Linked DNA regions of Macaca fascicularis. The protein of the gene in region 2 purifies or fractionates together with the protein of the main gene of each other region. This does not show direct contact. Links are inferred from orthologs where the notes say so. Each region holds a gene or a part of one and is shown on either strand. Other genes may lie near its edges. The genes, in order: CYLD, RIPK1 and CHUK.

What was found.
Region 1: the proteins of RIPK1 (region 2) and CYLD purify together in Homo sapiens (affinity purification with western blotting; 5 studies listed by BioGRID). This does not show direct contact. The link is inferred for Macaca fascicularis from reciprocal best matches to the Homo sapiens genes RIPK1 and CYLD.
Region 3: the proteins of RIPK1 (region 2) and CHUK purify together in Homo sapiens (affinity purification with western blotting; 3 studies listed by BioGRID, with this or other methods). This does not show direct contact. The link is inferred for Macaca fascicularis from reciprocal best matches to the Homo sapiens genes RIPK1 and CHUK.

What each region holds. Positions count from the first base shown.
Region 1 is NC_088394.1:46,735,895-46,739,548, reverse strand, and holds part of CYLD (ubiquitin carboxyl-terminal hydrolase CYLD), read right to left. Parts: intron 2,614-3,654; coding exon 2,497-2,613; intron 792-2,496; coding exon 412-791; intron 1-411. UniProt on the Homo sapiens protein: Deubiquitinase that specifically cleaves 'Lys-63'- and linear 'Met-1'-linked polyubiquitin chains and is involved in NF-kappa-B activation and TNF-alpha-induced necroptosis.
Region 2 is NC_088378.1:169,961,090-169,964,743, forward strand, and holds part of RIPK1 (receptor-interacting serine/threonine-protein kinase 1), read right to left. Parts: intron 1,505-3,654; coding exon 1,352-1,504; intron 1-1,351. UniProt on the Homo sapiens protein: Serine-threonine kinase which is a key regulator of TNF-mediated apoptosis, necroptosis and inflammatory pathways.
Region 3 is NC_088383.1:109,147,941-109,151,594, forward strand, and holds part of CHUK (inhibitor of nuclear factor kappa-B kinase subunit alpha), read right to left. Parts: intron 1,838-3,654; coding exon 1,776-1,837; intron 493-1,775; coding exon 383-492; intron 1-382.

The DNA.
Region 1 (3,654 bases), on a different chromosome or scaffold from region 2:
AAAACCTTTCCCTCTAGCAAAGGTCTCAAAAGATCTCTAAAAATGGTGATTAATTTTAAAGCCAGTGATATAATTCTTAGAACTGACCAGGGGAAGTGGCTGAAGAAGAAAGACAAAAGATGATGGCAAATTTGTTTGATTTACTAAATTTGGTTTAATATAAGGAGCCTAAATCGATTGGCCTAAAAATCAACTTTCATTCCTTGAACGTAAATCAACTAACATTAGGACAAGTGGGTCGCAAGCCTCAGGGGTGGCAAAGGGAAGTCAGGCAACATGGTGAGAAAATTCTTCTGCAGTGATAGCTTTTCTGACAAATATAACAGTTTGTCAAAAAGCATATAATAGGGTGAAATCTGCATAAAACCTCATAGAGAAAAAAATTGAAATTTTGGGGTCAAGTTAAATTACCAGTTCCAGTCCAGCAAGTACTTCATTCAGTCCTGGGGGCTGACCGATCCAACGGATTACCCCGTAGAAAGGAGGGTTCTCCTTAACTTCAGCCAGTGAGCCCACTTCTAGACCATGTGAGTTCCCAGGAGGCATAGCCAAGGGTGGACTCTCTTGCACGGGTGCAGTGTTTAGCTCTTCCATCACAGACTGGGCTGACAGAGAAAGTGGACTGTGGCCAATACTTCCATTGGTATTAGGCATCTTTGTGAGACTGAACGGTAAAGAGTGGAATCTGTTCTCGGTGGACAGTGAGTTCACAGGAGGAGGCTGGAGTGGTGGTGAAGAACGGTCAAAGTCTGTAGATATCTCTGTAAGAGATTTTGCAGGGTCTTCTGCAACTAAAAAATTATTCCTAATTAGAGAAATGTATTCAAGGATATCGACTCTGTCTTCCATTTCTAAAACTTAATATACAGATATAGTCCAACCGCCCACCTGACCTCCCTGCTATTAATAGTACTCTCATAGGCACAAAGTTACTATCTCCAACAGTGTTCTCGCTTCTCCCTCCACCTCCATATTTATGCACCTCAGTCAATGGCACCCAATTGTTCAAACCAAAAAATCTTCATCACTGGGTATCGTATAGGTGATAGTCTTTGTCCAAAATACAATTAATTGAGAAAGCAGTACAAAAAGATACCAAAAACCTTAAGAAACGCTTCTAAATAACTAATGGATCAAAAAAGAAATAATAAGTTTTAACAATAAAGAAAAAAGAGAAAAAGAAACAAAGAAAGAAAGAATCCTTGCGGAACATGGCTAAATTAATACTTATAAGGGAATTTTATAGGCTTAATTGCTTATTTCAGAAAAAAACAAAAGCTAAATATGAACTCAGCATACAACTTGGGAAGTTAAAAGAACAGAATAACCCCCAAAAAGGTAGAGAAGAATAAACTAAAGAACAGAAACAATAGAAGAGAGAAAACAAACATACAATAAGAAGTTCAAAGCCAGAACAAACACAAACACACAATGTAATTTAAGAGAAACCAAACACATGATAAAGAGAGCCACGGCCAAAAGCTATTTCCTTAAAATGACTAATACATTTGACAGGCAGGTACTGCAGATCATTGAGGGAAGAATGAACTTCTTACTAAATGCTGTTGAGATAACTGGTTATCCATATGTTTAAAAAAAATTAAACTGGAATCCTACTCATACTCTATACGAAAATCAGCTCCAGGTGGCTTAAAGACAAATGCGGCAGGCAAAACTCTAAAGGCTGGGAGACCACAGAGTAAGGCCTGTTTGCCTTTCCATTCTCATCTCATGAGTGTCATGCCTGTTTCTCTGTTCCAGTGCCTGGCAAACACTAGCTTCCATTCTTCCACTTTCCATATGCTATTTCTTCTCCCGAGGAGGTTCTGGCCCCTTTCACTTTGTCATCTGTCAATCCTCTGGTAAACCTAAGCATGTGTCACTGCCCCAAAGAAACATCTCCAAGACGCTGAGAAAAGTCATCTTTGGTGTATTCTCACAGCATCACGCACCTTCACTGCACACAGCACCAAGGCAACTCTACTTCTGTGTCTGTGGTTGTTTGATTAATTTCTGTCTCAACAACTTAACTGCAAACTCACAAAGGGCACGAACCATGTCTACTTTTTCTCGCCATTTTCATCTTGATGCCTAAAAGAATGCCTGGCAATCATAAGCACTCAATAAATATTTGTTGAACAAATGAACAAAGAAAAGAATAAACTAGACGAAAATGATGTCCCAGGACCAAGGGAAGATAAAATTTTTAAAAGGGAGTGCTTTAAAGAGGTCAGGAAGGAACCAGACAGAAATCTTCCACCCTAAATAGATCGGTTAAAGGAAAAGAACAAATTACTAATCCATTTCTTAAACATTTTAATAATCTTAACAGCAGTACAGTTCAAACTGTGTACAATATTTTAGTTCAGCAATATTACAAAGAGTGGTCTACTTACTCTGTTCCCAAAAACTACAAATATTGCTATAAAAAGCCATTTTTATTTGATGAGTTAAAAAGAAAGGATCATTATAAAGAGCACTAAAATTACAGATTACCTTCATCAATGTACCATGTATTTTTTGATTTGGATTGTGGTTGTGAGTCAACAGAAGACCCATTTAAGGTATAAAATAATTCAGATCTGTTTCTATTTCCAGGGTCTGAGGTAGATCCTATAGAACAAGAAAAGTTTCATTTAAAAATAAAGTCAATATAGCATCAAAGGTTTTTCTAGTAGAGAAATTAATATGCATATGATGTTAATAACTGTTTACATAACCAATAAATATATATAAACACAATATGTTTTTTAACTGTCTTCAGCTTTTAAAAATTTGGTAACCATTTTGGCAATATTAAAAATATTCTTCAGCCCAAAAGTCAATATAGGAGGGAAACAGGAGTAAGTGAAAAGAAAGGTCCACTCATTTAAAAAAAATGAACTGCTTTAAGTCATTGTTCCATGTACCACAGCTTATTTTTAAATGTCAAAATCACCATTCCCCAGCTTCATTTGATAGACCCACTGGTTCACAAATTTAACCTATTATTTTAAAAGAAGGTAATCCTCAAATGCTATATATAAATCGATACACAAATTATGTTTAAAAATAGTTAAGTTTTAAACATTTTGGAATTTTTGGTCATCAAATTCCTTGTATCTTTGAAAAAATCAAGCACTATTATTTCTTATAGATTGGATTTATTGTATGTAAGAGGGCAAGTGTAGCTATGCCACAGCCATTTCAAGACATTACCTTGCCTCAGTATTAATTCAAGGACATGCCACACACAGTGGGGGGCAGTGGGCTCTCCAGAACCCACAAAAAAACTGATTTTCCTTTTCAAATTAAAGTAGGTAGCTGTACATTTTATAACTTTAAGATATACTACAATACAATTAACACGACATATCTTAAGAAAATCTTTAGTCTGTTTCTATTTAAATGAGAGTAGCAAGTTTGAGCTATCCTATATAGATCTATAGGTTAACACAAAAAAGACTGTTACCTATATATCCTGTAATTAATCCTAAGTCTCCCAGGCTCCAATGTCACACAAAATAATTCTTAAAGTACAATTTCCTTTTAAATGAGCGAAAATTGTAATAATTGAGGAAAAAATATTCTTCTTCTAACCCGTATCTGAGTTAACAAAAATTCTTAGAGCCTTTTTAATGAGCTGTTTGGCTTGTATAACTACCATTCTATAAA
Region 2 (3,654 bases):
TAAAACAACCACAACAAAATTCCTTAATCCCCACACGACCTCATTAAACAGAACATAAGGAAGAAAATATTTCATTTTTCCTTTCAACCTATCTTCTTTCCTCAGCCCTCCATAATGTGGCTTGTATTGCCACCAGTTGATTGTCAGCAGTCCAAGAACTTCCCAACATACTTTCCAAATTTTGTCAATATTTCTGTAGGGGGTAGATCCCGCGTTTCATTAGATTCTCACAGGTGCCCTTGACCATTCAGAATTTCTGTTCTAGGTATTTTAAAAGCAAACTATGGCCTGTGGGCCACATCTGGCTCCCTGCCAGTGTTTGTAAATAAACTTTTATTGGAACACAGCCGTGCTCATTCACGTGTGTATTGTCTGTGGTTGCTTTTGCACTACAATAAGAGAGTTGAGTAGTTCCAAGAGAGACCTCAAAGACAGCAGGGCCTAACATTTCCTACTGGTTCCTTTACAGAAAAAAAAAAAAAAAAAATAGCCAATCCCATGGTTAATTAGAAAGCTGGGTTCTTAATCAAGTTGTTTTGGCCTCATGACTTTTTCCAGACTGTACTTTGGGATTAGCATTATGGGCCTACACAGTAGAACCCTGTAAGAGATAGTCCTCTTGATTTTATTACAGAAGTGCTGTGGAGGGCACAGTCTTCTATCTTGTACAGGATCTCCTTTGATGAGGGCCTGACACAGCTGTTTCTTCCAGGTCTGACCAGTAATACTGATGATGCTAATGATGAAAGTTTAACACTTTTTATAGAACTTACTATGTGTCAGGCAGTCTTCTAAGCTTTTTATACATACCAACTCATTTAATTTTCACAACAAATCCATAAATACTGTGATTATCTCCATATTAAAAACAAATAAATTGGCCGGGCACGGTGGCTCACGCCTGTAATCCCAGCACTTTGGGAGGCCAAGGCGGGTGGATCACGAGGTCAGGAGATCGAGACCATCTTGGCGAACACAGTGAAACCCCGTCTCTACTAAAAATACAAAAAAAATTAGCCGGGCGTTGTGGCGGGCGCCTGTAGTCCCAGCTTCTTGGGAGGCTGAGGCAGGAGAATGGCGTGAACCCGGGAGGCAGAGTTTGCAGTGAGCCGAGACCTCGCCACTGCACTCCAGCCTGGGCGACAGAGCGAGACTCCGTCTCAGAAAAAAAAAATAATAATAAAATAAATTACAAAGGAATTATATGGAAATTACAAAGATATTTTGCAGAAGTAACATGAGAAAACTTTCAAGAAGAATTATCAGAGAAATTTTAAGATTCCACTATGTCCTTCTCACAAGTAAGAAAGTTCAAGGTTGCTAGACATGGGGTCCCTCCAGGGTATCTTACCAAAGATAGCTTGGTACTTGGAAGCTGGCTCTTCTTTAAAGTTCGTATTTGTGCTGTCTAGTAGTGATGAACTCGTCCCACCAACCTCCATATAATTGTAGGCTCCAATCTGAATGCCAGTACTATTGTATATAGCATATTTTATAGATTCATCTGAACAAAGAGAAACACACAGGTAAGTAATTCTAGATCAAAAGCAAGAGAAAAAGTACAGCATGGCAAACAAGCAGGGCTTTACCCCAAACATTAAGTTCATTATCCTATGCCACAGTTCAAACTATTCTTCTTTAAAATCTGGCTAAACCACCTCATACCCATTAGGATGCCTACAATTAAAAAAAAAAAAAAAAGACAGAAATAACACATATTGACAAAGATGTGGAGGAAATGAAGCCCCTGTGCACTGCTGGTGGGAATGTGAAATGGTGCAGCCACTGCTATAAACAGTATAGTGGGCCGGGCGCAGTGGCTCACGCCTGTAATCCCAGCACTTTGGGAGGCCGATGTGGGTGGATCACCTGAGGTCAGGAGTTCAAGACCAGCCTGGCCAACATGGTGAAACCCCATCTGTACTAAAAATACAAAAATTAGCCAGGCATGGTGGTGGGTGCCTGTAATCCCGGCTACTCAGGAGGCTGAAGCAGGAGAATCACTTGAACCCAGAAGGCGGAGCTTGCAGTGAGCCGAGCCGAGATTGTGCCACCGCACTCCAGCCTGGCGACAGAGCGAGACTCTGTCTCAAAAGAAAAAAAAAAGAGTTATCGTGATTCTTCAAAAAAATTAAAGATAGAATTACCATATGATCCAGCAATTCCATTTCTGAGTATATACCCAAAAGAACTAAAACAGGTTCTAAGAAATGTTTCTACCCACGTGTTCATTGCAGTGTTATTCACAAGAGCCGAAAGGTGGAAATCAGCCAAGCACCCATAAGCAGATGAGTGGATAACCCAACTGTGGCCTAGCTACACAATGGAATAGTCAGCCTTGAAAAGGAAGGGAATCACATCACATGCTACAACATGCATGAACCTTGAGGACCTTTCCTAAGTGAATGAAGCCAGCCACAAAGACAAATGCTGCACGATTCCACTCATATGAGGTACCTAGAGTCAGAGTCACAGGAATGGAGAGTAGAATGGTGGTTGTCAGGGGCTGGGAGGGGAGCTGGGGAGTTGGTGTTTAATGGATACAGAATTTTAGTTTTGCAAGATCAAAACAGTTACATAGATGGATGGTGGTGATGGTTGCATAACAACATGAATGTTAGGTAATGCCACTGTAAAAATGGTTAAAATGGTATATTTTATGTTTTTGAATTTTACCATAGAAAAATGTGGCTGTCAGAAATCAGAGGTGGATGAACAGCACAGCACAGCTCAGCCACACTTCCCAGCAGGATCCCACGACTCTGAACATCTGTGAAGGGTCCTCCTCCTTTACCTGATAAACTCAAACCTCTCAGGTTCAGTATTCAGTAGCTAGCCACAGCTCTGCCCTACCCTCTGTCTCTGATCTTCCTTTCACTGTCTCCGCCCTCTCTCCACTCCAGAGACTCCAGTCCCACCAGATTTCCCACTGATCTGCTGACATGGTGCTCCTGCCTCTGCCTGGACTGTTGACCTTCCGACATGCTTCTCCCTATCTGTGATTTTCTGCCACAGGCCCAGCACAAATTCCCCCTCCTTCCGTGAGCCTGCACTGTAATCCTAGACTCAGCACTCTGCCCTGGGCCGCTCTGTATCTGAGCTGGGTCTGTCTGACTTCTCCACTAGAATGTGAGTCCCGAGAGGGCAGCAACCATACCCACTTGTTTTTGTATTCCTTACACTCGCTAGCCTGGGACTTGGTACGGGCATGGGTTCAGTGACATTCATGCTGAGCTGAATTTGTCAAGTGTCGGTACTGTCCCTAAAGAGCACTTAGCATATCCTTGTAGGAGAGAGAAGGTGGTCGAGAAGACAGTTCTGAGGAGGGAAATGAATAGCAGCTCCAGGTACCTTTGTCAGCACACCTGACCCTAAGATAGGCCGCCTTCTGGACCAGGCACCGTGCTCATTTGTTGCATTTTCTCTGAGGAAGCCAAGGAAACTAGGGACCCTCTCTAGAGACAGGTGTAAGAAATATAGGATGTGCACGCACACACCATCTGTATGTAGTTCTGGGTGTTTATGAAGCTGCTGAAACTGGGGTCCTTGGAATCCTAGCAAGGAACCGCTGTGACAGTCTCTGAGGTACCTTCCAGCGCTCAAGGCTGTCTAGGTGTTCTTGTTAACAGTGATAATAACAGTGCCAATAACAGC
Region 3 (3,654 bases), on a different chromosome or scaffold from region 2:
AAATATCTGAAGTTTTTAATCCAGAACTTTAATTAAGAAAAAATCTCAAGTTTTAGGGCATTTAAGAGTCAATATCTTGGACCAGAGGTACTATGAGTAGGGAAACAGTTTGTAACTTAGTTATACTTGGAAAATTCTTAACACTCATATGAAATAAATGCTTTTATTCAAAACCAAAAAAGGCCAACCCAAAGAATTATTTCTGAAGTTTCCTGTGACTAAGAAAAAGCTTCCACTTTAAAGATAATCCCAATATATTTGGGGAAAGGAAAACTAGAGAAAAGAACCACATAGAGGTTTAATTTGCCAGATGTAAGCAGAAAGAACAATATGCTACAAAATATAACAGATGTCAAGACCAACAACACAAGTACATCCTTACAGAGATTCCATCAAGTCTCCCTGACGTCTTCCATAGGGGCTCTTCTGTAGCTCCATGATTTCAGCATGCAAAGACATAATCTGATCCTCCAGGTATCCAATGACACCAACCTAAAATATGATGAAAATACAAAGGAAATGAAAGGCTTACCACTACATCATTGGAAACAAAATTCAGATCTTAAGGATACAGAATGACCTGCTGCTTCATTAGAGAACTAAATAATATAATATGAAACACTGATATTGTTAAAGCCTTTCTATTCTTCAGATTCTGACACTTAATCCTTCACATAAGAACACACTTATTCTTAGTCTTCTCTCTTTTCTCTCCTGACAACAGTAAACTACTAGTATTTGCTTTTACCTCTGGAGAAGCAAAAAGGTACAACAGGTGTCAACTAATAAGAAAGACCAAAACCACTGGTATTACTTGTATCTTGGCTCTATGATTTTGATTGCCTCCTGGCCCCCACTGCCTTGAATAGGGACACAAAAAGATAAAGACCTTGGATTTCCCACCCCAGGACACCATGGGTATTCCCACCCACATCCTCAGGGTAAGTACTGACATTAAGGAGTGTAATAACTTAGGACCATGGACAAATGTACAGGATAAGGGGAAGAAAATCTGCCACCTAGAGAATGATCTATACCTAGGGACACCATATAATTTATTGTCCAAACCAGTGTCATTTTGAGAGTGAAAGGGACTACTACTGATAATTATGGCAAGATATTAGGTATAAACTGGGACAGTCCCACTAAACCCAGATGTGCAGCCATCCTATCTAAACCAGTCACAAAAATAATACTGACTCCCATTTAATCTTCATAACCCTACTAGAAAAGAAATTGTGCCCATAATATGGAAACTAGCTGGATGTGGTGGCTCATGCCTGTAATCCCAGCTCTATGGGAGGCTGAGGTGGGAGGATTGCTTAAGCCCAGGAGTTTGATGCAAGTCTGGGCAATATAGTGAGACCCTGTCACTAATAAAATGTAAAAATTAGCCAGGCATGGTGGTGCACCTCTTGTCCCAGCTACACAGGAGGCTAAGATGGGAGGACTTGCTTGAGCCTGGGAAGTTGAGGCTGCAGTGAGCTTTGATCATGCCACTGCACTCCAACCTGGGCAACACAGTGACCCTGTCTCAAAAAATAAATAAATAAATAAAGGAAACTGAAGCTTAGTAAGGCACTAGGTAATTTTCAAAAAGCCCTTGTTTTTAATCACTATGATACCTCCCTCTTTATATACAAAGCATCTACTAGAATTTTGTCTGAATTTCGGGAATGACATGAAAAATGCTCTTTATATACCAAAACCAAAGACAGTTTCTAATGGAGACATCAAGAATTAATAAGTACACAGAATGTGGTCAATGATTTTACCTCAGCATAGTGGATGGCCTTTTCTTCCATTTCTTTCCATGCTTTTAGCATTTTTTCTGAAGCTAAAAGAAAAGTCTAAATTGGTTATCTCAGAAATAGCCATATCTTTAATTACTGGCCTGCCTGCCTCCTTGCCATATCAACATCAAAGATGTGTTATGAGTTGAATTGTGGCCCCCCAAAAGATATGTGGAATTCCTAACCCCCAATATCTCAGAATGTGACCTATTTGGAAATAAGGTCATTACAGAAGTAATTAGATAAATTAATACTCATACAGGAATGGTCTGGGCTCTTAATCCAGTATGACCAGTGTACTTAGAAGAGACGAGACACAGGATACAGATACACAGGGGAGAATGCTATGTGACAATGGAGACAGATTAAGGTGCTGCAACTGTAAGCCAAGGAATGCCAGTGATGGCTGGCAGACCATAAGACCATAAGAAGCTAGAGAGAAACAAGGAAAGATTCTTCTCTGCAGATTTCAGAGAAAACATGGCCCTGCCAACACCTCGATTTTGGACTTTTAGCCTCCAGGGCTGTGAGACAATAAGTTTCTATTGCTGAAGCCACACAGGTTATAGAACCCTTAGGAAATGAATACAGATGACTGTTTTCTTTCTTTCTTTTTTTTTTTTTGGGGAGATGGAGTCTCACTGTCACCCAGGCTGGAGTGCAGTGGTGCAATCTCAGCTCACTGCAAGCTCCGCCTCCCAGGTTCACACCATTCTCCTGCCTCAGCCTCCCAAGTAGCTGGGACTACAGGCGCCCACCACCATGCCTGGCTAATTTTTTGTATTTTTTAGTAGAGATGGGGTTTCACCATGTTAGCCAGGATGGTCTTGATCTCCTGACCTCGTGATCTACCCGCCTCGGCCTCCCAAAGTGCTGGGATTACAGGCGTGAGCCACTGTGCCCGGCCGACTGTTTTCTTAAAAAAAATATGTATATCAGTGTGGAGATAGGTGGATAAAGGAAAAACCAATTTTTTTTTTTTTTTTGAGATAGTGTCTCACTCTGTCACCCAGGCTGGAGTGCAGTGGCATGATCTCGGCTCACCGCAACCTCTATCTCCAGGGCTCAAGTGATCCTCCCACCTCAGCCTCCTGAATAGCTGAGGTGTGCACCACCATGCCCGGCTAATTTTTGTATTTTTTGTAGAGATGGGGTTCTACCCCACATTGCCCAGGTTAGTCTTGAACTCCTGAGCTCAAGGGATCCACCAGCTTCGGCCTCCCAAAGTGTTGAGATTACAGGCGTGAGTCACCACACCTGGCCAGAAAAGAAATTTAATACTTGAATGTGATTTTTAAAAATTAAATACTATAAAAGGATATAAACAGAAAAGACTCTGTCTTCCTCCCTTCTACCATCCACCTCAAGGGACCTTACTATGATTATTTGTTACACAGACACATACCCTGCTCCCTCGCAAGTGAAACCACTGGTATACTCTCTATTTTTTCCCACAATTTAAAACTTTTCTGTCAACTAAAGACCCAGGTGATCTTTTAATAAAGCACATACAGATCTACCTCATTCTTCTTTAACAATTGTATAATAAGCCTTTGACAAGTCTAAGGTATTTTAATGAAATAATTATATTTTATCACTTGCCAGAATGTCAATAATATACAAATAGAGATAAAATAACAATATTATTAATAAAACCAGTTCTGGAGAGTAAATTCATTCACCCAACTGGACACTATTGATTGTTTATTCTGAGATACACATACTTTGCTCAGGACAAGTGTACAAGCAGTATTTGTTTCCTAAAAAGGATTTGTTTTATAAAAGAAAACAGAAATGCTGGTAGTGACTCCTTCAATTTACTCATATTTTAACTCTGTCTTTTTACATTTCCTTAGTGCAT